Arabidopsis thaliana: one gene and its partners. The protein of the gene in region 4 purifies or fractionates together with the protein of the main gene of each other region. This does not show direct contact. Each region holds a gene or a part of one and is shown on either strand. Other genes may lie near its edges.

Region 1 (4,196 bases), on a different chromosome or scaffold from region 4:
AAGCTTTTGGGTAGTTGATTGTAGCTATTTAAAATCAATTTCAGATTATGGTTTAGCATAATTGGAAAACCTTTTGTTTATATATTAAAAAAGATCAAATCCATATGCTATAAGATTGCATAATAATAGAAAGGAAAATTTTATTTGTTGAAACGAGTGATGTATTATTATTAGCCGAAGAATCTTGTCGTCCCAAGTGGTCCTTTTCAGACAGTTGGACAATTTACATACTCGCTACTTAGATCTCCTACCGACACTCCCATTTCCTCTAAACCGGTCACCGTCAAAAACCGAGTTAATCGGTTCACACTGCTAAATAATCATTCCATTAAAATAAATGCTGAGGTGGATCTTTAAAACCTAAATTAAAAGGTTAATTATAAAGGATGTAAATGTGACAATGTAAAAGTAGTTTTCTCTAAAACCGGTTAAAGTCAATCGCTCATGAGTGTACATGGGCTCTTGTCAAGTAAACATATACACTATTCAGGCTTTTAAGGCCCGCCTTGGGTAGACAGAAGCACTGTTTGTCTGTAAAGCTTGCGCTCACTCCGGTGGTTTTATACAAGGGCACCAACGTAAATATTATGAAGAACCATACTAATATATTACTAAATGAAATGTTAGAGCTTCGTGAACAATCAACACTAGCAAAGACAGACTGTCAAGTCATGTTTAGATAAATAGAGATCTCTCACATACAAAACTGTAATTGAAACAATGCAAAGATTTGAGAGGTTTCAAGCGGTGTAAGCGTTCTTTGCATTCCTGTCGAGCTTCTTCGCATCCTCCTGAAAAAAAAAGAAACCAAACCAAACAATGAGAGATCTGAAGAAAATGAAGACTTTTGAATTAGAATTATGAGAAGCTTTCTTCTTACATGGATGATGAAACCTATGCTGTTGTTGTAATCGAGAAACTCCTTCCATTGTTTTCCAATGCTCACCTGCAACATTTGATGCAGACGAGAATTAAAGTCTTATTTTTACACAGAGAGACTGTTTGATGAGTTTTGATGAGAAAGGTCTTTTCTATTTACCTGAGCAGCTTCGTTTGAAGCATTTTTAGTCCAAATAGATATCCTTTCTTGCTTTCCTCTAATGTTGACAACTGCTCCACATATTTCATCTCCATGATCAAACTGCTCTCCAATCAATGCAAGCAACTAAACCAAGCATGTAAAAAGAAAAACCGGTGAGATTCAATTGGATGATGACGCAGGAGTTACGAGTCAAAATAAAAGAAGAATAGAAACCGTACAGTGTAGAGCCAGCTCTTATCAGACTTCTCCTTAGGGAAAGTCATAGTCCATTTTCCTCCATTAGCACAAATAGGATCCTCCCACTTAGGTTCAATGATGTGTTTGAAACAGTAGAAGTCAGCTCCGTGAGCTAACTTGCTCGGATGCTTCATGTTGTTGTACAAACTGCAAACCAAAATGTCTTTTAAAATAAGAAGTCGAAAGAACAATACACAAACCTATGAATCTCATTGGGAAGAGCAAGAACTATACAACATCAACCCTCAGTCATCACGAAAGTGTTTGCTCAAATTCTGATACCTAGAAAACCACTAAGAAAGATTTCAAAGTTGGTCTCTTTCTCTCACAAACTTTGCTCTTCTACTTTACTTCACAAACAAGTGAACAGAATATCAAAGCTAAACCCTAACATAAGCTTTAGCTACGAATTCAAACACCAAACATAGCAATTCATCAAAAACATATAATGACTTCAATGGGATCTTCTAATCCCCCAATAAAGAACATAACTTTCCTCAACAAATCGAAACCTATAACAAAACCCAGATGCAGAATAATTGAACAAACCAGATATTGAGTCGGAAATAAAATAAAATCAAAAACCTAACCTCCAAAATTCCTCAACAGTTGAAAACGTAAACACGGGTCGCAAGGAACTTCCCCAAGAGGTTTGTTTCGATTTCACAGCAGGATTATCGAACCAGAAAGTCCATGAATGTTCCAGAGGATGCGATTCAGGAACACCGGATTTGCTCGATTCGTCAACGTTTCCGTCTCCTTCTCCTCCGGCGATCTCTCCTTCTTCGGCATCATCACCTTCCTCATGGTATCGATCAATCGGATTCTCTATTGAATTAGGCTTAGCTTCTTCCGTTACAACAGATTTGGGAGTGTCTTCTACCGCCATTGTTTCTCCGAACTGCTTCTCTTTCTCTCTATCTCTCTGTCTATTACTCTTCTCCAAACTAATGTACTTCCTCTCGTAGGGTTAACTATGATACGACGTCGTTTTAATTACATACTTCTTGTCTTTTTTCTTTTTGGGCCGAAGAGATAACTTAACAACTATTATGGGCTTTAACTTGTCTCCGGCTCTTTTTGCTCTTAAAGGTTTTTCTAATGGTCGTGTTAGTTTGAAGTACATGTACTAAATTATGTTTGTTTTGTAGTCTTCAAAAAAATCAAATAATTTTAGTGATTAACGTTAATTCAAAATATGAAACGTGAAAATGTTTATAGACTGAATTTTTAGTCATTAGTTGATGAAATCAGTCACCAAAACTGGTTGCCAAATTCGATTATTGAATTACTAACCACATAAACAAACAACAAACTTTAGAATTGGTTGTTTTCGTTAGTTTGGTCGTTGATCGCTAGCAGCTACAAAAAAGTTAAGAAAACATGTTGTTATTGTCAGAACTGTAAAACGAACATGATCAGGTTTTTATATGCTTTCACAAAAGCATATAATATGATTATTAAGAAAATGTGAAGTATTTTGTAGACTGTCAAAAGTTTGAGAGATTTATATCTTATGGAAGTGTTAATAGCTTTTGACTATATAAGTGAGTTTGTCTTACCTTTCTATTTCTAAAGGTTGTGATCTGCCTGCCGCCCCATAATAGTATTTCTTTTAAGATATTAAATTGTTTATGTACCTAGTTTGGGTTAATTAATATATATAATATGTTAGACCAACAAGACAACTGGATTATATTCTAAATCTAAACAATATACAATTGTGTTTAAGTTCCGTGCATGTAAATTTAAAAGTTTAAATCAGTGGATATACCACGTACAGAAACAAAACGAAATTTCTTATATTCATTCCATTGGTTTTATCGGTCAAACGAAAGAAAGGAGAAAATAAAAAGATTTCATAATGTTTCGCAGTCGAATGTATTCTATTACTTCATAGTTGATAGAGACGTATAACTAAGTGAAGCTGGTTCTATTCCATTAACTGTCAGAATTTGTTTATTGTGCATCACTACTCACTAGTAACTTAGTAAGTAGTAACTAATTGTGCAGAATATACTCAAAAAAGTTATTCTCGACACCAGGAGAGACTATAAATATAGAGTTTGGTTTTTGTTTACATTTCTATGCTATATATTCTTTAGATTTTATAAGAAATAAGATTATTTGATTCGCTGCAAAAACATAATTGCATGGCTTGTCTATATGCCGTCAAACCAAGAATCTCGAATGTTAGTTATACACGTTTCAAATATATATTTGATATGAGTTATTCGAGAATATATTTATAATGATAGTACATACGTAATTCGAAAAGAATAAGTTTAAGTTTGCTTTAGTTGTCAACCATTCTTTATACCAAAAATAAATAAATTGTCAACCATTCTTTATACCAAAAATAAATAAATTGTCAACCATTCTTAATCTAACTTCTCAGTGCGTGTGATTTTTTTTTAAGCAGATGTAAGAAAGAAAAAGGTTGTCGACGTTAATCATGGCTCATGCAATGAATCAAATAAACTTATTTTATATTTATCAACATATTTTATATACGGGAGATTTTTCAAATCTATCGACTTTTTTGTTTAGCAACGAGCGCTTAATGATGGTCGATAGATCAAAGTTTGTCGCTAGTTGACGTTTTCTTTTGTAGTAAAGAACTGATCAACAGTTTTTTTTTTTCTTTTTTTTTTTGTAAAGTTTAGAAGTGACTGCCTGACTGGTATTGACGACACAAGTGATAATTGATAAATGATGAGTTTGGATCGTATGAATTGACTTGTATGGTAATATTGCATAACGCGTCATCGTTTCTCCCATTATTCTATAAAGATTAGAATCAAAATCTCTTTTTAATTTCTTTTCAACTTTTAAAAAATTAACATTAATATTTACTTTTGAAAAGAAAGTAAACTTACAAAACATGTCCAAAGAACAGAGAAAATTTGAATCCATA
Region 2 (5,348 bases), on a different chromosome or scaffold from region 4:
TCCAGATGAAGAAGAAGAAGAACACAAATCGAAATCGAAGTCGAGAGAGAGAGAGAGAGAGAGAGAGAGAGAGAGAGAGAGAGAGAGAGAATGAGAGAGAGAGAGAGAGGTATTCAAAACTCAAACATGGAGAGGCGGACGGAATTCGAAGTGAGAGAGAGAGAGAGAGAGAGAGATCAAAACAAAAAGGAAAGTGATCTCAGCCGTTGATTTCAATCTCTGAATCTCGCTTTTTAGTCTCTCATATCATAAAAGTTCAATTTATTTATTTATACGTTTCTTCATTCATTTTTCTTTCGAGATTCTCTGTTGCTTCTTCTTCTAAACAACGGCAAAGCATTCTTTGTATGAAAGAAGAGTTTTTTTCTCATTAAAAAGGAAGAAGATGAAATTGCCAGTAACAGCTAATTCTAAAATCAGCATAAAAACCTAATAACAATGTAGACAAAGTCAAACGAGAAGACCAAGAAGAATACCAAAACTATTTGATTTTCAAAATTAATTTTAACTACTTCAAGTAAAATAGTGTCATCATCAGTGAGTCAATTGATACAGTTGTAGAATTTACAGGAATATACTTTTAGCAGTTAATATTAATAGTTTGTCTTTTAGAATGCTTCCTAAACATCGATTTAAAATAATTAAGGAAAGAGATGTGTGCATAAGAAGGCACATAAAGCTAAACAAAACAATACCAAATATGACTAAACCAAAATTTGCCAAATAAGCAGCTATTTCTAGTTATAACATCACGAGTCACCAGTCGATACATTAAATTTAAAGTTGCAACTAGAAATATATTGAAAAACAGAAGCAGTCACGAGCGAAATCTCTCATGCTTCCACCTTCTGAGATTTGTTCCAGCGACCACCCGGTGAATCTGATCCCCTCTTTCTCCCGAATCTCCCTCCTCTTCTTCCTCCCCTGCATAGACCAAGTATATTATTATCTGAAGAACCAAACAAAAACTTCATTTGAAACAAAATCATAACAAAGAAACCAGAACAAAAACATGAACTCACCTTCCTCCACGGCCACCCTTGTCAAACCGATCTTTGCTTCGTAGGAGAGTCCAATACTCCTTTTCAGCTTCGCCTGACAGAGAGCAATATAAACAAGTGACCATTTAACTAAAGCAGAACACAAGGTTTAGTTATAAGATAAGATTGAAGTTGAAAAGGTGTTTTTACCAATAACAGGTTCTAGGACAGCAATAAAATTCTTCACGGCTAGTCCACCTTCATTGGCTAATACTGCTGCTGCACGGGCTTTCTGGGATGCTTCAGGTTCATCAAACCTAAGATAACCCGTCTCAGATCCCATCTTGAAATCAACAAACTTCACAACAAAAAGAATAAAGGAATCAGTGAAAATGATGTCAGTTATATGAGATATTGAATCTGATTCATGTTGACAGACAGCTAAGTAAAACTCAAGTAGTACCTTGACATCACCAAATTTTCCGAAAACAGCCTTAAGATCTTCACGTAAGACAACATCCTTATTATCTTTATGGGTGGCTAGAGCACCCTTTTCTTCTTTCTCATCATCTTCATCCTCTGCTCCCTCGGCCTGAACCTCACCAGTGTTTTCTTTATCAGCATCAGGAGTATCTGCTGGCTTTGTTTCACTTTCTTCCATTGTCTTATCAGTTGGCTCCTCAGAACTTTTTTGTTCCGTGGTACCCTCTTCAGCTGAACGCTTGAGGGTGAATGAAATGATCAAACCCTTGGGATAACTACAATACGATAAAATAGCCATAATCAGATCAAGAGGATTATTAGCATGAAAAGACAAGTAATTAGATAGCAACAGTCAAACCCCTACTCTGGCTCATAAGCAGAATTGTTTTTGTGATCAGAACCATTCTTCTGATTTGCAGATCCCTTCTGAGGTTGGTAATTAGCAAATTTTACTTCATCCTTCTCCCTTTCATTATCAAACTCTTTCCTGAAAAGAATATATCACCTTTTAAGTAACCCATCCAAACATTCAATGGAAAGACTTGTAAAATGAGAAACAGTCAGCAAACAGGACATGTTTTCATGTCTAAGTATGATTACTTTGGTTTCAGCTCCAACTCCTGACCAGCAAAGACCAAATTCTGCTTCATAACATTCTGGGCATCCTCTTCTGTAGGGAACTCAACCAAGGCAACACCAGAAAATATCCTCGACTCTGCAACATGACGAGGCATCCTCACACTATTAACCTGCAAGGACGACACATACATATACCAAAAACTTGTATAACCAATCTAAATTTTGAACAATGGCTTATGATTCAATCGATAGTGGATTACCTTTCCATACTGACTGAAAAAGGATTCCACGTCTTCCCTTTTAACATCATAGGAGAAAGGTGACGCAGCTACTGTTCTAGCATTAAGTTGCTCAATCAAATCTTCCAGCTTCAACAATTCAGTACTCCTACCAACCTTTTTCCCTGTTTAAGAAAATCCAACAAAATTGATCACTAAACTGTACAAAACATATTTCTCCAATCTGACACCACATATTATCAAACTTGTAAAATCCACATGCAAAGACTTTTCTTAATGAAACTAAGTTTAAACTATGCACTACACAGGCCATTCACCTATAATTGAAACTCTCAAACTATTATCTTTCTTCTAAGATATCACTACTTCGTTTGAATCAATTAAAGCAATTGTTAACTATATCCAAACCCAACAGAAACTTGATTATATCATGAAACTCACCATCGTCAGAAATCTTGAGAGCAGAAGAGGTTCGAAGAGTATCAGCAACAGCTTTGATGGTATCTTCAGGAATATCATCTCCTTTAGAATCACCCAACTTCAAATATCCTCTCATCTTACTAAAGGAGCAAATCAACGCCAAACTCACCACTATTTGACAAACCAAAAAATCATCAATTAGCCATAACAAAAAAAAATCAAAATACACAGCGATAGCGACTGAATTTGTTTAAAAGTTTAAAACTTTACAGCCATCTTCGCTCTCTGTAACAGTCTTCTTGAGGAAATCATCAATGGGTAGATTACTATCACTGAAATAGAACTCCACCTATAAAATCGATATCAAATATCAGAACATAATCGAAAGAAAAAAAACTGGTGAAGCTACTAGAGAGGAACCGCAGAAGAAGAAGAAGAAGACAAGTTTGTACCTGGCGAAGAACAGTTTTGGCTGTCTCTTCGGTTAGACAAGGAATCGACATAATTGCTCAATGGCTCGAGCGAAAGATAGAGGAGGAGGAAGATAGAAGAATAAGAGAGAAAAAGGGTACTAGGGTTTATTGAGACACAGTTTCCATTTTCTCTTAAAGTTTTCGAGTCAAATTGTCATTTATTTATTTATTTTTTGGTTTTTCGCTATTGATTATATTTGTATTTCGTATTAACCCTTGACTTTTTTAATACTATCAATTTAACCCCACCCACTATACTTTAGAATGTAACAAAATTACCCCAAATAATCCTACACTATCTGATTCACCCCATTACGTCTTTTCGTTGGCAATTGATCAATATTTTCACGATTTTTTTCAATGATCAAGATCAAGACTTGAACCAAAAATTCATACTTCAATCAGCACAACATTTGTATTTTTGAGTCGTGAAAACACTACAAACTCTATCAACAATTCTTATTTAGTTGTAAAGAGATATATTGATTATAGAGTTACAGCTTACGTTTGTTTTGGAGTACAATGAGATTGACATTCGCAATAATGTTTGTACTTGTGTAACATAACAACGTTATTACATGTGCAGCTAAGAAACTTTTTTTTAGATTGATCAGTCATGTATCTCATGCACAACTTTTCTCCGTCTTGGCTACATTTACCGTCCAAGTCTCCTATCGTTGTACACAGTTTCTCAGCTTCCACTTCTATTGTTTTCTCAACCACACAAACCAAAAAAAAAAAAAAAAACGTTAATTTTAGTTCGATTAATAAACAAATGACAATCCAAATAAGTTCACTATTAAACCATATGTTAACGTTGTAACAATGCTTTTTATTTCCTTTAATCACAACACCGTTTTTGCAATTAGAAAGAACATCCTTGTTTTATATCTTATTATATACGAGTTACGTCCATACAAAAAAAACTCAACATATTACCTTTACCACCTCTCAGAACGAGTAACATGAGAGTATAAGAAACTATAAACCAAATAACAGATCTCATGATTGAAAAGCTGATAAGAATTATTAATTATCTCTATAGTTGCAGAAAACTATTGTTTGCCTCTCGAATTTTTTATCTTTCTTATCAACAACACTCATAATAAATATATTCGAGATATCGTAAAAATAGATGCATCTTTTTTTAGAATTTGCTTTGTAAAATTCAACGAGCCTTCTTAATTAACGAGTTCGACGGATCAACTCTTTCTTTTTTGGAAAAATTCTTCTTTGTAAATCTACTTACTAGTATTATATATTTTTCACTTTTTTTTTTTGCGTGTATTGTGATGACGCATCACCTATTCTTTTCAAAATACACAGTTCTAACCTTGATAATCTAAACTCACAAAATCCATAAGACCATTAATTTACAATGTTTAATCCATTGAAAATTAATCTATAGACAAACGTTCAATCTTTATAAAACAAATTTATGGTTTTCTGGGATCAATCCTACTAGCAAGGAATAGATGAAGCAGAGATGCTATGGGAAAACATTCAGGTTGTGTACTGTGTAGGATCAATCAACTCGACCGTCGTCGATCATTTGACGATAGGCCAAGGATCCAAAGGTTCACACTACTGTTCCCGAGGCTTCACTTGGCTGATGATTTTTTTTTTATATGGTTATGTTGTATGTGGGGGGAATCATCGAGAGACCTCATCCAGGATGTTATCCTTAAGAGACAGAAAAGCTTAGGGAGTGAACTTTTTTTGGTATTGAAACATATTTTTTTGTTCTGTATACTAATTTTATTTGTCCACATAAGTTTTCAAACAAATTAATAAACAGTTTGTATTAAAATTACATCAATATTACAAATGCTAATAATTAATTTTTAAAAATAAAAGATTGAAGTCTGCAGATAACATGATAGTATTAGTATTGTAGTACCATGGCCAATTACAAAATGCGTAATTACACTATAACAGGATCAATACAATTTGGAAAACTGAACGTGGAAAATAGATTGATTGGAAAACTCATACTAACTACTTAGAAAGAAGTAACTCATAACTTTATTAAAAATTTGTGTGGAAAAAGAGAGATACATTAGAATAACATAACTTATTTATGGGTCATGAAAATGACAACACTACAAACACTCATAACAATTCTATTAGTAAAAACTAAAAAATAGGTAAAAGCAATGTTGGTTAGGGGAGTT
Region 3 (5,641 bases), on a different chromosome or scaffold from region 4:
GTGGTTTTATTCAATGCAATGATTGAAGGTTACTCGAGACTTGGGACACAATGGGAACTACATGAAGCATTGAACATCTTTCGTGACATGAGGTTCAGATTGATTCGACCTAGCCTATTGACTTTTGTTAGCCTTCTACGTGCATCTGCTTCTTTAACAAGCTTGGGACTGAGTAAACAAATCCATGGATTGATGTTCAAATATGGGTTAAACTTAGATATATTTGCTGGAAGCGCTTTGATTGATGTTTACTCAAATTGCTACTGCCTCAAGGATTCCAGGCTTGTGTTTGATGAAATGAAAGTGAAAGATCTTGTTATCTGGAATTCTATGTTTGCAGGTTATGTTCAACAATCAGAGAACGAAGAAGCTCTCAACCTGTTTCTGGAATTACAGTTATCAAGAGAAAGACCTGACGAATTCACGTTTGCCAACATGGTTACAGCAGCTGGCAACCTAGCAAGTGTTCAATTGGGTCAAGAGTTCCATTGCCAGCTTCTGAAAAGAGGCTTGGAATGTAATCCGTATATTACAAATGCTCTACTAGATATGTACGCCAAATGTGGTAGTCCCGAAGACGCTCATAAGGCTTTTGATTCAGCAGCTTCAAGAGATGTAGTTTGTTGGAATTCTGTCATCTCATCTTATGCGAATCATGGAGAAGGCAAAAAGGCTCTTCAGATGCTTGAAAAAATGATGAGTGAGGGAATAGAGCCTAACTACATCACCTTTGTTGGAGTTCTATCAGCGTGTAGCCATGCTGGTCTTGTAGAAGATGGACTTAAGCAATTTGAGTTAATGCTTCGATTTGGAATTGAACCTGAAACTGAGCACTATGTTTGTATGGTATCTCTTTTAGGCCGTGCTGGTAGATTGAACAAAGCAAGGGAGTTAATTGAGAAAATGCCGACAAAACCAGCTGCTATAGTATGGAGGAGCTTGCTGAGTGGATGCGCAAAGGCCGGTAACGTCGAGTTAGCTGAACATGCTGCTGAAATGGCTATTTTGTCTGATCCCAAGGACAGTGGATCGTTTACTATGCTTTCTAATATTTACGCGTCCAAGGGTATGTGGACTGAAGCTAAGAAGGTGAGAGAAAGAATGAAGGTTGAAGGTGTGGTGAAAGAACCTGGACGTAGTTGGATTGGGATTAATAAGGAGGTTCATATATTTTTGTCTAAGGATAAATCTCACTGCAAGGCTAATCAAATTTATGAAGTGTTAGACGACTTACTTGTGCAGATCAGAGGAGTTAGTTAATAACTACCATACAAGAACTCATTTTCTATTGGAGTGATGGACTCTATTTGGTTAAAGACCAATGCAGCAGATGAAGCTTAAAAGCGAGCCAAAGAAGAAAGAATAAGCCATGGTTAATATCGAGAAGCTGAAGGGGTAGCTAGCTCAGGAGAGCAAAGATGTTGCTATTAAGTTTTGTAATCAAGGGAAAATCGATTCTGTTCCGTTCAAATCCGAAGGAAGACTCAAAAATTAACCCCGGTTCAGTTCTCAGTTTCTTCTCATCATCTCCTAAAACCGGGTTGAGAGAGAAGTTGTAATGGTGAATGCATGAATGGTATGTTGTACATGATTCATTTGAATTTAGTTAAACCGTTTTTGAAATCAACTAAAACCGAAAAACACCAATTCAAAACAAAACAAAACAAAAATTCAGAACAGGGTTTATTGTATATAACCAAACTAAATTCTCATTCTGTTGTAAATTTTATTAAACCGGAAAACCAAATCGGACATATATGGGCCTAAAATGTTGTTGGGTCAGGCCGAATTCTAGACAGTTCTGTTCTAGTTTTTTCTCCTTTGTCGTAATCAGGTGGACGAAACGAAAACCCTCGGGATTCCTCTGCTTCTGTCTCGTCCGTCGTCGTCAATTTCTCTGCATCAGAGATTCCGGTGTCCTTCTTCCTTTCACTCGCGTATAACCTCTTTTCCTTGACGTTGTCTCCGTGAGCTCTCTGTGCTTTGACTGCAACCATGTCGACTATTATGCAGAAGATCAAAGAAATTGAAGATGAGGTAATTATTCAATCCTCTCTGATTCTTCACCTCTTCTCTTCAATTTTGGATGCATAGAACTGTGAATCCGAAATATCTATTCTGAATCAAAGAAATGATTTTTCAATCTGGGTGACTCACAAGTACGAGGTTTTTTTTGTTTATGTGGCAGATGGCTAAAACACAGAAGAATAAAGCTACTTCTCATCATCTGGGTTTGTTAAAGGTACATTTTTTCTCCTCTTTAGGTCGTTTTTTGTAGCTTTGAGAGTGAGGTTGATTGGTTGAGGTGTTTTTGCTTATCAAATGCAAATTTGGTTGATTGGTTTATATCTGTTTTGATACTTGATAAAAGCTATCATGAAATCCCAACCAGTAAGCAAGCTCATTAAGAAATATTTTAACTTCTGGTTGAAATCGTTTATGTTTTATACGAACTCCCAAATCATTGAATAAGCACAAAGCTGAGATATTTTATTTACGGCATGATCTCTTGTGAAGTTCCTTGGATCAAACAACTACTAGGCAGGCATTATATATTATTCTGTATTGATTTTAGAATTTGGTACTTATTCCTGCACCATTAGCTTCTCGTCATATTTCACTGGTCCATTTTGCAGGCCAAGCTTGCTAAGCTTCGGAGGGACCTTCTTGCACCGCCTACCAAAGGTGGCGGTGGTGGTGCTGGAGAAGGTTTTGATGTGACTAAAAGTGGAGATTCTAGAGTTGGACTGGTCGGATTTCCTTCGGTTGGAAAATCTACGCTATTAAACAAGCTGACTGGGACATTTTCCGAGGTTTGTAGTTATCGTTACGAATATTGAACTTCCTTTCTCTTGTTGTAATTGGAATTTTGAAACCTACCACGTATCCATGGCATCCTATTTCTAGTTACTTTTTGACCAACTTCCTGTGCAATATCACTTATAAGGCAAGACTGTTCGGCGCTAGTCTTTTCCTGGATAGATGAACATAAATCTTGGAATTAGAACTGTATTTTGGCTGATACTCAATTTTCTGAAGGTACATACTGTGATACACAATGTTTTCTCAGGTTGCTTCTTATGAGTTCACGACTTTGACATGCATTCCTGGTGTTATCACATATCGTGGAGCTAAAATCCAGGTATGGTATCTACATCTATGCGTCTGTGTTAATCTGTTATTTGTGGGGGAAAAATGATAATTCTTGGATAGTGTTTCCTCTGTCTTGGTAATTGTTGAAACACAATGAAATCCTTGGCTACATATGCCATGTCCTAGCTTGTAATTATCTTTTCTCGAGTCTTACTTCTATATTAAACATGTATCTTGCTTGATCTTTTAATGACTTCTTGGTACTTAGTTTAAGTCAGGAAACGACCTGTAATTATTCATTGGACACTGATGCTAATACTCTTTTTTATGTCCCCTTCTATGTGTTTGCAGTTATTAGATCTTCCTGGTATTATTGAGGGTGCTAAAGATGGAAAAGGTAGAGGAAGACAGGTAAGTCGAGTCTAAATCTCTTGAGTATTTTATATTTTGACCCTCTTTGATCATCTTTCACACTTTACTATTTCCAGGTTATAAGTACGGCTAGGACATGCAACTGCATCTTAATAGTTCTTGATGCCATAAAACCAATTACTCACAAGCGTCTCATTGAAAAAGAGCTCGAAGGATTCGGAATAAGGTATAGATTGTTTATATAACAACCTTTATACACTGTATATTTGATCGTTTCTGGTAGATAGTCTGACTCGATCATGGACTGTTGCTATGTAGGTTGAACAAGGAGCCACCAAATTTAACATTTAGGAAAAAAGACAAAGGTGGTATCAATCTAACTTCTACAGTCGCTGTCACACACCTTGACCTTGACACCGTCAAGGCGATTTGCGGTGAGTACAGGATGCACAATGCTGACATCACCCTGCGCTACGATGCAACCGCTGATGACCTCATTGATGTCATCGAGGGCAGTCGGATTTATATGCCCTGTATCTATGCTGTCAACAAGATCGATTCAATCACACTTGAGGAACTTGAAATTTTGGACAAACTTCCTCATTACTGTCCTGTCAGGTAAATGTTGTTAAATTACCGGCAGGATTTGCGATAAACTTGTTTACTTTTGCCATTAAGATATAAATTTATTTATCTTGCAGTGCGCATCTGGAGTGGAATCTTGATGGACTTCTGGACAAGATATGGGAATACTTGGATCTAACTCGAATCTACACAAAACCAAAGGCAATGAATCCGGATTATGATGATCCCGTAATCTTATCATCCAAGAAGAGAACAGTAGAGGACTTCTGCATCCGGATTCACAAAGACATGCTTAAACAATTCAAGTAGTAAGTAATTAAAATCCTTAACATTTTTCTTTTCTCTGTTATATGGTTCTTGCTCAAAAGCATCGCTCATGAATACTTAACTAATGATCTCCTGATACAGCGCTCTGGTTTGGGGTTCAAGTGCCAAACACAAGCCACAAAGAGTTGGAAAGGTTAGTTCTTCTAGCAAATCAAACAAAAGTTAATCTGGTAAATCGATATTGCAATATCCCTGACTAACTAACTATTGCTGTCTCGACATCGTATTTTATACTTCAGGAACACGAGCTTGAGGACGAGGATGTTGTTCAGATCGTTAAAAAGATATGATTTTTGCAGATAATGGAGAGCAGTCAAGAGACCAACCAAAGTAGCCATAATGAGATCTCCTATAGGAAGGTCAGGATTTCTTTTGGTTTCTCAGCTTTATCTTTCTTTTGTAATTGTATTATTATATCCAGACGAAATCTGTGTCTACACCCTTTTTTATGTCTTATTAGATACTTTTGTCTTCTTCCAATAATACTATTAAGCATGTGATTGATGTTGTCGGAACACCTCCTATTATCTCCAGTATGGGTTTGCCTAGATTTTCTCCTCCCTTGTTTTTATGTATGCAACTAGACTTTTTTGGATTTTATTTACTAAACATATGATTCAGTTTTTCTTCATGTAATAAAGAAAAACTGTTAAAACGGCCTTCATTGCACTGACCAGGTCGAGGTGTTATTATTTCTGACAGTTAGTTGTTACTTGGACTGTTGATTAAATTTAATGACATTAATAGATTTGGAAAACTATTACAACGACCTTCGTTGCAGTGTCTGGGACCGTGAATTCTGATGCACTTCTCGATTTGTCTATCCTCTTAAAGTTGGTTTGTCATTTAGTGTCTGAAATTGTAAGATTATGGACCCTTCTTTACAAGTCCTCCACCAATTCTGTCTCATCCATTTGTGTGGTTAGTAGCTTCACCAGCTTAACACTTTCACTAATCTTAATTCTTAAGATATGAAAAGCAGTTGAATGAATGCATTGGTAATTTCTTTCTTTTTTAATAAATTTTCTTTTTGTTGGTTGCTAATTTATATATGTAATAATCTTACTCTATATAAACAAGTTCCTTCAACACACAAAAGGAACCACCACCATATTGTGTCTGTAAACCAAGCTCCTAACTCTCTCATATGGCTTCTGTAAGCTTACTTGACGTTGCCATAGCCATCATTTGCCTTTTCTTCTTCTATTACATGTACTTCAAGAAACCTCATGGTCAGGTTTTTCGAAACTGGCCAGTTATTGGG
Region 4 (4,566 bases):
GTCTTTGTCGAAACAGAGAAGAAGCTTCCTTTGTAAAGAGAAGAGCTTCGCAATCTCGAAGATGATTTGTGATTGAGACGAGACAGAGACGCGAAGTTTGAAGAAGAAGAAGAGTAAGAGGAAACTTCGCTTACCGTTATCATCCTTATCCTTCTTCTCCTTCTCCACAACAACGACGATTTCTTCTTTTCCTTTTCACTTTTTTTTTTTTTCTTACGGAATCCAGCTAATGGGCCAGGCCTTTTAGGCCCAATACATCTTTTGCACATTATTAATCTTTGTTGTTTTGGGCGTTAGGAATGAGACCATGACTTCAAGTCTTTCTTTCTGTTTCTTCAAGACTTCAAGTTTCAAGTTTCAACAATCACAAATTATATCTTTCTCTCAAATGAACTATGTAGGATAATTAGTTAATTAAGCTGTAACATCCATAGACTATAAAACTTTTAATAACAAATCAAGATGATGCAATTGATCAAACTCTAGTTAGACTTCACACAAAAAGCATAAGCACATAGAAGTTTAGTTATCTCCTTTGGTGACAGATTAGGAATACTCTGAAGATATAATGAGACTACAAGTTTGGTATATGTGAATGCATCAAATATAATCATGCCAAAGAAGGAGGAGAAGGGATAAAAATGGTGGTTCCAGCCTCAATCTGACCGCGACCGATCAAACGCCAATGCCTATCCACACGGCGACTTATAGCCACTTTCTCTCCAATGCTGGTGCACACAGGGAGTGTCAGATTAACTTTCACCATATCTTTCTTTACTCCAATAACCATAGCTCCCGTAGACATCGATCCGATATTCAACATCAGTATCTCTCCCTTGACTAGCTTTGACACTCTCATTTGCCTCTCTGTTTCCTTTGTCTTCACTCCAATGAGACGTGTCAGAAGCTGGAAACTCACTTCAAGTTCAACATAGACATCAGGGAGAGTACCTATTTCACCAAGGACTTGACCAACTAACCTATCACCACGCGTAAGCGTAGGATCCATGCTTGTCCCAATTCCAATCAAACCTCCCGGGACAGCAAACTGAAGCTCGTTCTGTTCCGCGTACAATGAAGTTATACGCGTGTAAATGGGAGTGCATTTAGTGTCTCCATTCTCATCTTTTCTAGTGATTCCAGGTCTTATCTCTATTATATGCCCCACCTTCAAAACACCCTGCAAACAAAGCAAAGAGAGACATAAGTTACATTGATTCAACCGCGATTTATCCTAGTTTTTCGGGGTATTGAGTATGTTTTACCTGAAGGATACTCCCACCTGCAACTCCACCTTTCATACCATCATAATCAGAGCCAGGTTTATTGACATCAAAAGAACGAATCACAATCATTCTTGGAGGTGACACAAAATCCCTCACAGGGAGTGGAATCTTCTTGACAATGTACTCACACAAAACATCGATGTTGTATTTCAGTTGCGCTGAGACAGGAACTATAGGAGCACCTTCCGCATTCGTGTTCTGTAATAACAAGTTTAAAACTTAACCAACTAATCAAGAAGTGAAAAATGCAAAAAAAAAACAGAATGGGAAAATTGAATCAAACCGTTATAAATCTCTGGATGTCCTCGTGCTGTTTAATAGCCTCGTTTTCTTGGATGAGATCAATCTTGTTCTGAATGATTATGATATCTTTAAGATGCATCATATCAACAGAAGCAAGATGTTCAGCTGTTTGTGGTTGTGGACATGTCTCATTCGCAGCAATGATTAGTAAAGCACCATCCATAATCGCTGCTCCATTCAGCATTGTCGCCATTAGGATATCGTGTCCCTAATCAACACACAAAACACCTCATTAACATATAGAAAATGGTTACAAAAGATTTAGAAATAGTGTTAAAACTCATTTTATACCGGGCAATCAACAAATGAGACATGTCTTAGTAGTTTCATCTTGTACTTCTCATGTCCAGAGACATCACAACTTGGGTTGTCTTCTTTGCCACTCCCGAAAGACCTATAATTAACACATATCATAAGTTGCTACGTACACTACGTAACCTTATTGTAGCAAAAGAAGAGCAAGAATTCACTTGTAGGCTACTGGTCTAGGGCATTTTTCACATTTGTAAATCTTTGCGTTTGCGTAACCAAGTTTAATGGTAATGTTACGCTCCAATTCACTCTTGAATTTGACAGTGTGCACACCGGAAACGGCTTTCACGATTGTCGATTTCCCGTGAGCGACATGGCCAATGGTTCCTGAGATATAGAGAGCATAGTCATATCTTTAGCTTTCAATGCACGGCTGATCAGTTTCTTCAGCATCAAAACTCAATGAAACAAAAACTTGTGTATACCTATGTTAATGGTGGCTTGACGAGAGATGACCTCAGGAGAGAGAGGATGCAGCTGAGCTACATCAAGTTTACTTAGATCTTGTTCAGCTAAGCCCTTGTTCTTCGACATTACGACAGATTTCATCTTAAACACTCTGTTGCAATCAATCAAAGTTCACAACTTTAGAACAACGTTGATCAGAGCCAATACAATAACACTAGAAGTTTCGAAAGGCTGTTCAGAAACTAGGGTTTTTATGCAAGATGGATGGGTTCCGTTCACAATAGTTACGATTCGATTAAATTCAATTAGGGTTGCTAATCTATTTCACTGAAGTTCTTATAAAAATGATTTACACAAACCTGAAGTACGGTAAGAGGTAGATGAAGAAGTTTGCTCGCAGAGATTTCAGAGGAGAAAGCGTGCCGTTGAAGGTTTGTGTTTTTGGTTTTGATAAAGTCAGGTGGCGTGTAAGGTATATTTATAGGTAGGGTTTTATCTTAACGTTTACTGTTTGTCTTTTTCGCCAACTTCATTTTTCCATGTGTCAATAAAACATGTCTTACAATTTTTATTTTATAATTGTCGGTTTCTTACCCGAAATGTTTTTTTATAGGAAAATTTGTGTTAGGTAATTTTGCAATTTCATTTACAAAATATAGCACGCTCCTTTTGAGATGGGCTAAAATCGTTCCAAAGTTTGGGCTTACACGCCTAACCATTGGCCCACTCCAGTTTACTTCTATCTTTCACCAAACTAAGAAACATTGATCCTTGAACAAAAAGTAGTATATGTTTATATGATGACAAAAAAAAAAGAGTAGGAAATCTATGATTCTATAGGAGTGTAAATGAATAAGCTGTGATAAATTTAGGTTATTTTTCTTAACGATATATATTGTTAGATCAAATTTTATAGTTACATCATTTGGAGTATAATGTAAATATGTTCCGCTTTATAATAATGTAAATATGATTTGTAATACTAATGAGAACACACGCTCATTGTCTTCCAGTTCAAGAAATATCTTAAACCCCACTTTTTATCAGCCACCTGAATTTGAGTCTTCCTCTGCCACATAATAAATTGTTTACATGGACCAATTCTTGGTTACAAAACATCTGATATCATATCGTGCAATTAAGAAGGTATTAAATGATGTTTTTTTCTGTGGCATTTGTATATACTTTCAAGTTTCGACCAATTCTATAAGTTAAGAAAAAGGCATTGAGGGAAATTTAGGTTAGAAAAAGTACACAACGATCCCAGCAATGGGAAGTAGCTATCACTTTCAGTGACCCTATTTCTCTGAGTGGGCAATAACATTGTAGGCCCCATTCTGTGGAAAATCCACTAACTTCAATGTCTGCTCTCATTTTCTATTGTCTCCTTCGCTGTTTTTTTACAATTTACGTTACCACCAAAACTATTCCTTTGTTTAATGACGAAAACGCCACTCTTTCTAAGCAAAATGTCAGAGAATTTTGTTTCTTTGTTGGAGAGTTGAAAATATTTTTTACATAGAAAAAGAAACCAATAATGCAGTCAAATAATAATAGGAAGCAAATAATAATGCAAGTATCTCTAATTCTCTATATCAAATTGTATTCAATCATATTCACCAGATGTAACCTCTATAATGGAACCTTTTTGAATATTAAAATATCATTAGATCCTATTCTTACAATGTATCAATCAATTACTAATTAATTTTCTCTGGTTTTCTTGATATAACAATAACGTTAAAAAATCTCATTGTTAATCTCTTTATGCCATCATTAGTATTGTAAGATTTTGTACACTTTAAATTGTAAATTTGATCTTACAGAAACAAAAGATCTACAAATCTTAGTTACAGAAGATAATGGTATTAAACTATACAAATCTTAGTAGTTTAATATTATTAATAATCAAAATTATTCTAAATTAGAACTTTTACAAAATAAACATTTATCAGTCGCTTTCATAAATGTCAAACAATAAAAAAAGAAAAAGAATCAAAGATCTAAAGAGTGGCATTTTTATGACGTCACATTGAAATCCAACCGTGTAAATTCTTTTTTTTTCAATATAAGCAAATTAATTCACACGTTTTGTGCGCTGTCTTCGAAACTAAATCATTTATAAAAAAGACAAAACAGACAAGAAAATACAAACTGTCAAAAGAAGATTTTATATTGGTTGATTTGAAATCTCTCAGCAAAGAAGAAGAAGAAAGATTAAAAAAAAACAATCCTTTATTATTTTTCATTTCAACTC

The links.
Region 1: the proteins of AT2G18720 (region 4) and EIF4E fractionate together in Arabidopsis thaliana (co-fractionation; one large-scale study listed by BioGRID). This does not show direct contact.
Region 2: the proteins of AT2G18720 (region 4) and La1 fractionate together in Arabidopsis thaliana (co-fractionation; one large-scale study listed by BioGRID). This does not show direct contact.
Region 3: the proteins of AT2G18720 (region 4) and AT4G39520 fractionate together in Arabidopsis thaliana (co-fractionation; one large-scale study listed by BioGRID). This does not show direct contact.

The regions. Positions count from the first base shown.
Region 1 is NC_003075.7:10,015,984-10,020,179, forward strand, and holds EIF4E (eukaryotic translation initiation factor 4E), read right to left. Parts: upstream 2,250-4,196; 5' UTR 2,169-2,249; coding exon 1,870-2,168; intron 1,427-1,869; coding exon 1,261-1,426; intron 1,166-1,260; coding exon 1,040-1,165; intron 947-1,039; coding exon 881-946; intron 792-880; coding exon 741-791; 3' UTR 547-740; downstream 1-546. UniProt on the Arabidopsis thaliana protein: Component of the protein complex eIF4F, which is involved in the recognition of the mRNA cap, ATP-dependent unwinding of 5'-terminal secondary structure and recruitment of mRNA to the ribosome.
Region 2 is NC_003075.7:15,785,169-15,790,516, reverse strand, and holds La1 (La protein 1), read right to left. Parts: upstream 3,324-5,348; 5' UTR 3,205-3,323; coding exon 3,154-3,204; intron 3,051-3,153; coding exon 2,972-3,050; intron 2,873-2,971; coding exon 2,723-2,872; intron 2,446-2,722; coding exon 2,303-2,445; intron 2,213-2,302; coding exon 2,064-2,212; intron 1,951-2,063; coding exon 1,828-1,950; intron 1,739-1,827; coding exon 1,444-1,738; intron 1,339-1,443; coding exon 1,191-1,338; intron 1,096-1,190; coding exon 1,023-1,095; coding exon of another isoform or gene 1,019-1,022; intron 925-1,018; coding exon 834-924; 3' UTR 521-833; downstream 1-520. Other genes in the region: SCRL24 (SCR-like 24), read right to left, coding at 3,676-3,878, 4,114-4,180; SCRL25 (SCR-like 25), read right to left, coding at 5,348-5,348. UniProt on the Arabidopsis thaliana protein: Binds to the 3' poly(U) terminus of nascent RNA polymerase III transcripts, protecting them from exonuclease digestion and facilitating their folding and maturation.
Region 3 is NC_003075.7:18,370,355-18,375,995, reverse strand, and holds AT4G39520 (GTP-binding protein-like protein), read left to right. Parts: upstream 1-1,756; 5' UTR 1,757-1,995; coding exon 1,996-2,037; intron 2,038-2,188; coding exon 2,189-2,242; intron 2,243-2,636; coding exon 2,637-2,813; intron 2,814-3,070; coding exon 3,071-3,142; intron 3,143-3,444; coding exon 3,445-3,504; intron 3,505-3,581; coding exon 3,582-3,691; intron 3,692-3,783; coding exon 3,784-4,083; intron 4,084-4,166; coding exon 4,167-4,358; intron 4,359-4,458; coding exon 4,459-4,510; intron 4,511-4,616; coding exon 4,617-4,667; 3' UTR 4,668-5,131; downstream 5,132-5,641. Other genes in the region: AT4G39530 (Tetratricopeptide repeat (TPR)-like superfamily protein), read left to right, coding at 1-1,260; CYP96A12 (cytochrome P450, family 96, subfamily A, polypeptide 12), read left to right, coding at 5,525-5,641. UniProt on the Arabidopsis thaliana protein: Binds GDP and GTP, and has low GTPase activity in vitro.
Region 4 is NC_003071.7:8,114,310-8,118,875, forward strand, and holds AT2G18720 (Translation elongation factor EF1A/initiation factor IF2gamma family protein), read right to left. Parts: upstream 2,690-4,566; 5' UTR 2,669-2,689; intron 2,503-2,668; exon of another isoform or gene 2,461-2,502; 5' UTR 2,451-2,460; coding exon 2,327-2,450; intron 2,229-2,326; coding exon 2,060-2,228; intron 2,030-2,059; exon of another isoform or gene 2,004-2,029; coding exon of another isoform or gene 1,984-2,003; coding exon 1,881-1,983; intron 1,798-1,880; coding exon 1,570-1,797; intron 1,485-1,569; coding exon 1,266-1,484; intron 1,181-1,265; coding exon 611-1,180; 3' UTR 546-610; downstream 1-545. Other genes in the region: SCY1 (SECY homolog 1), read right to left, coding at 1-143; AT2G18721 (uncharacterized protein), read left to right, coding at 2,690-2,797.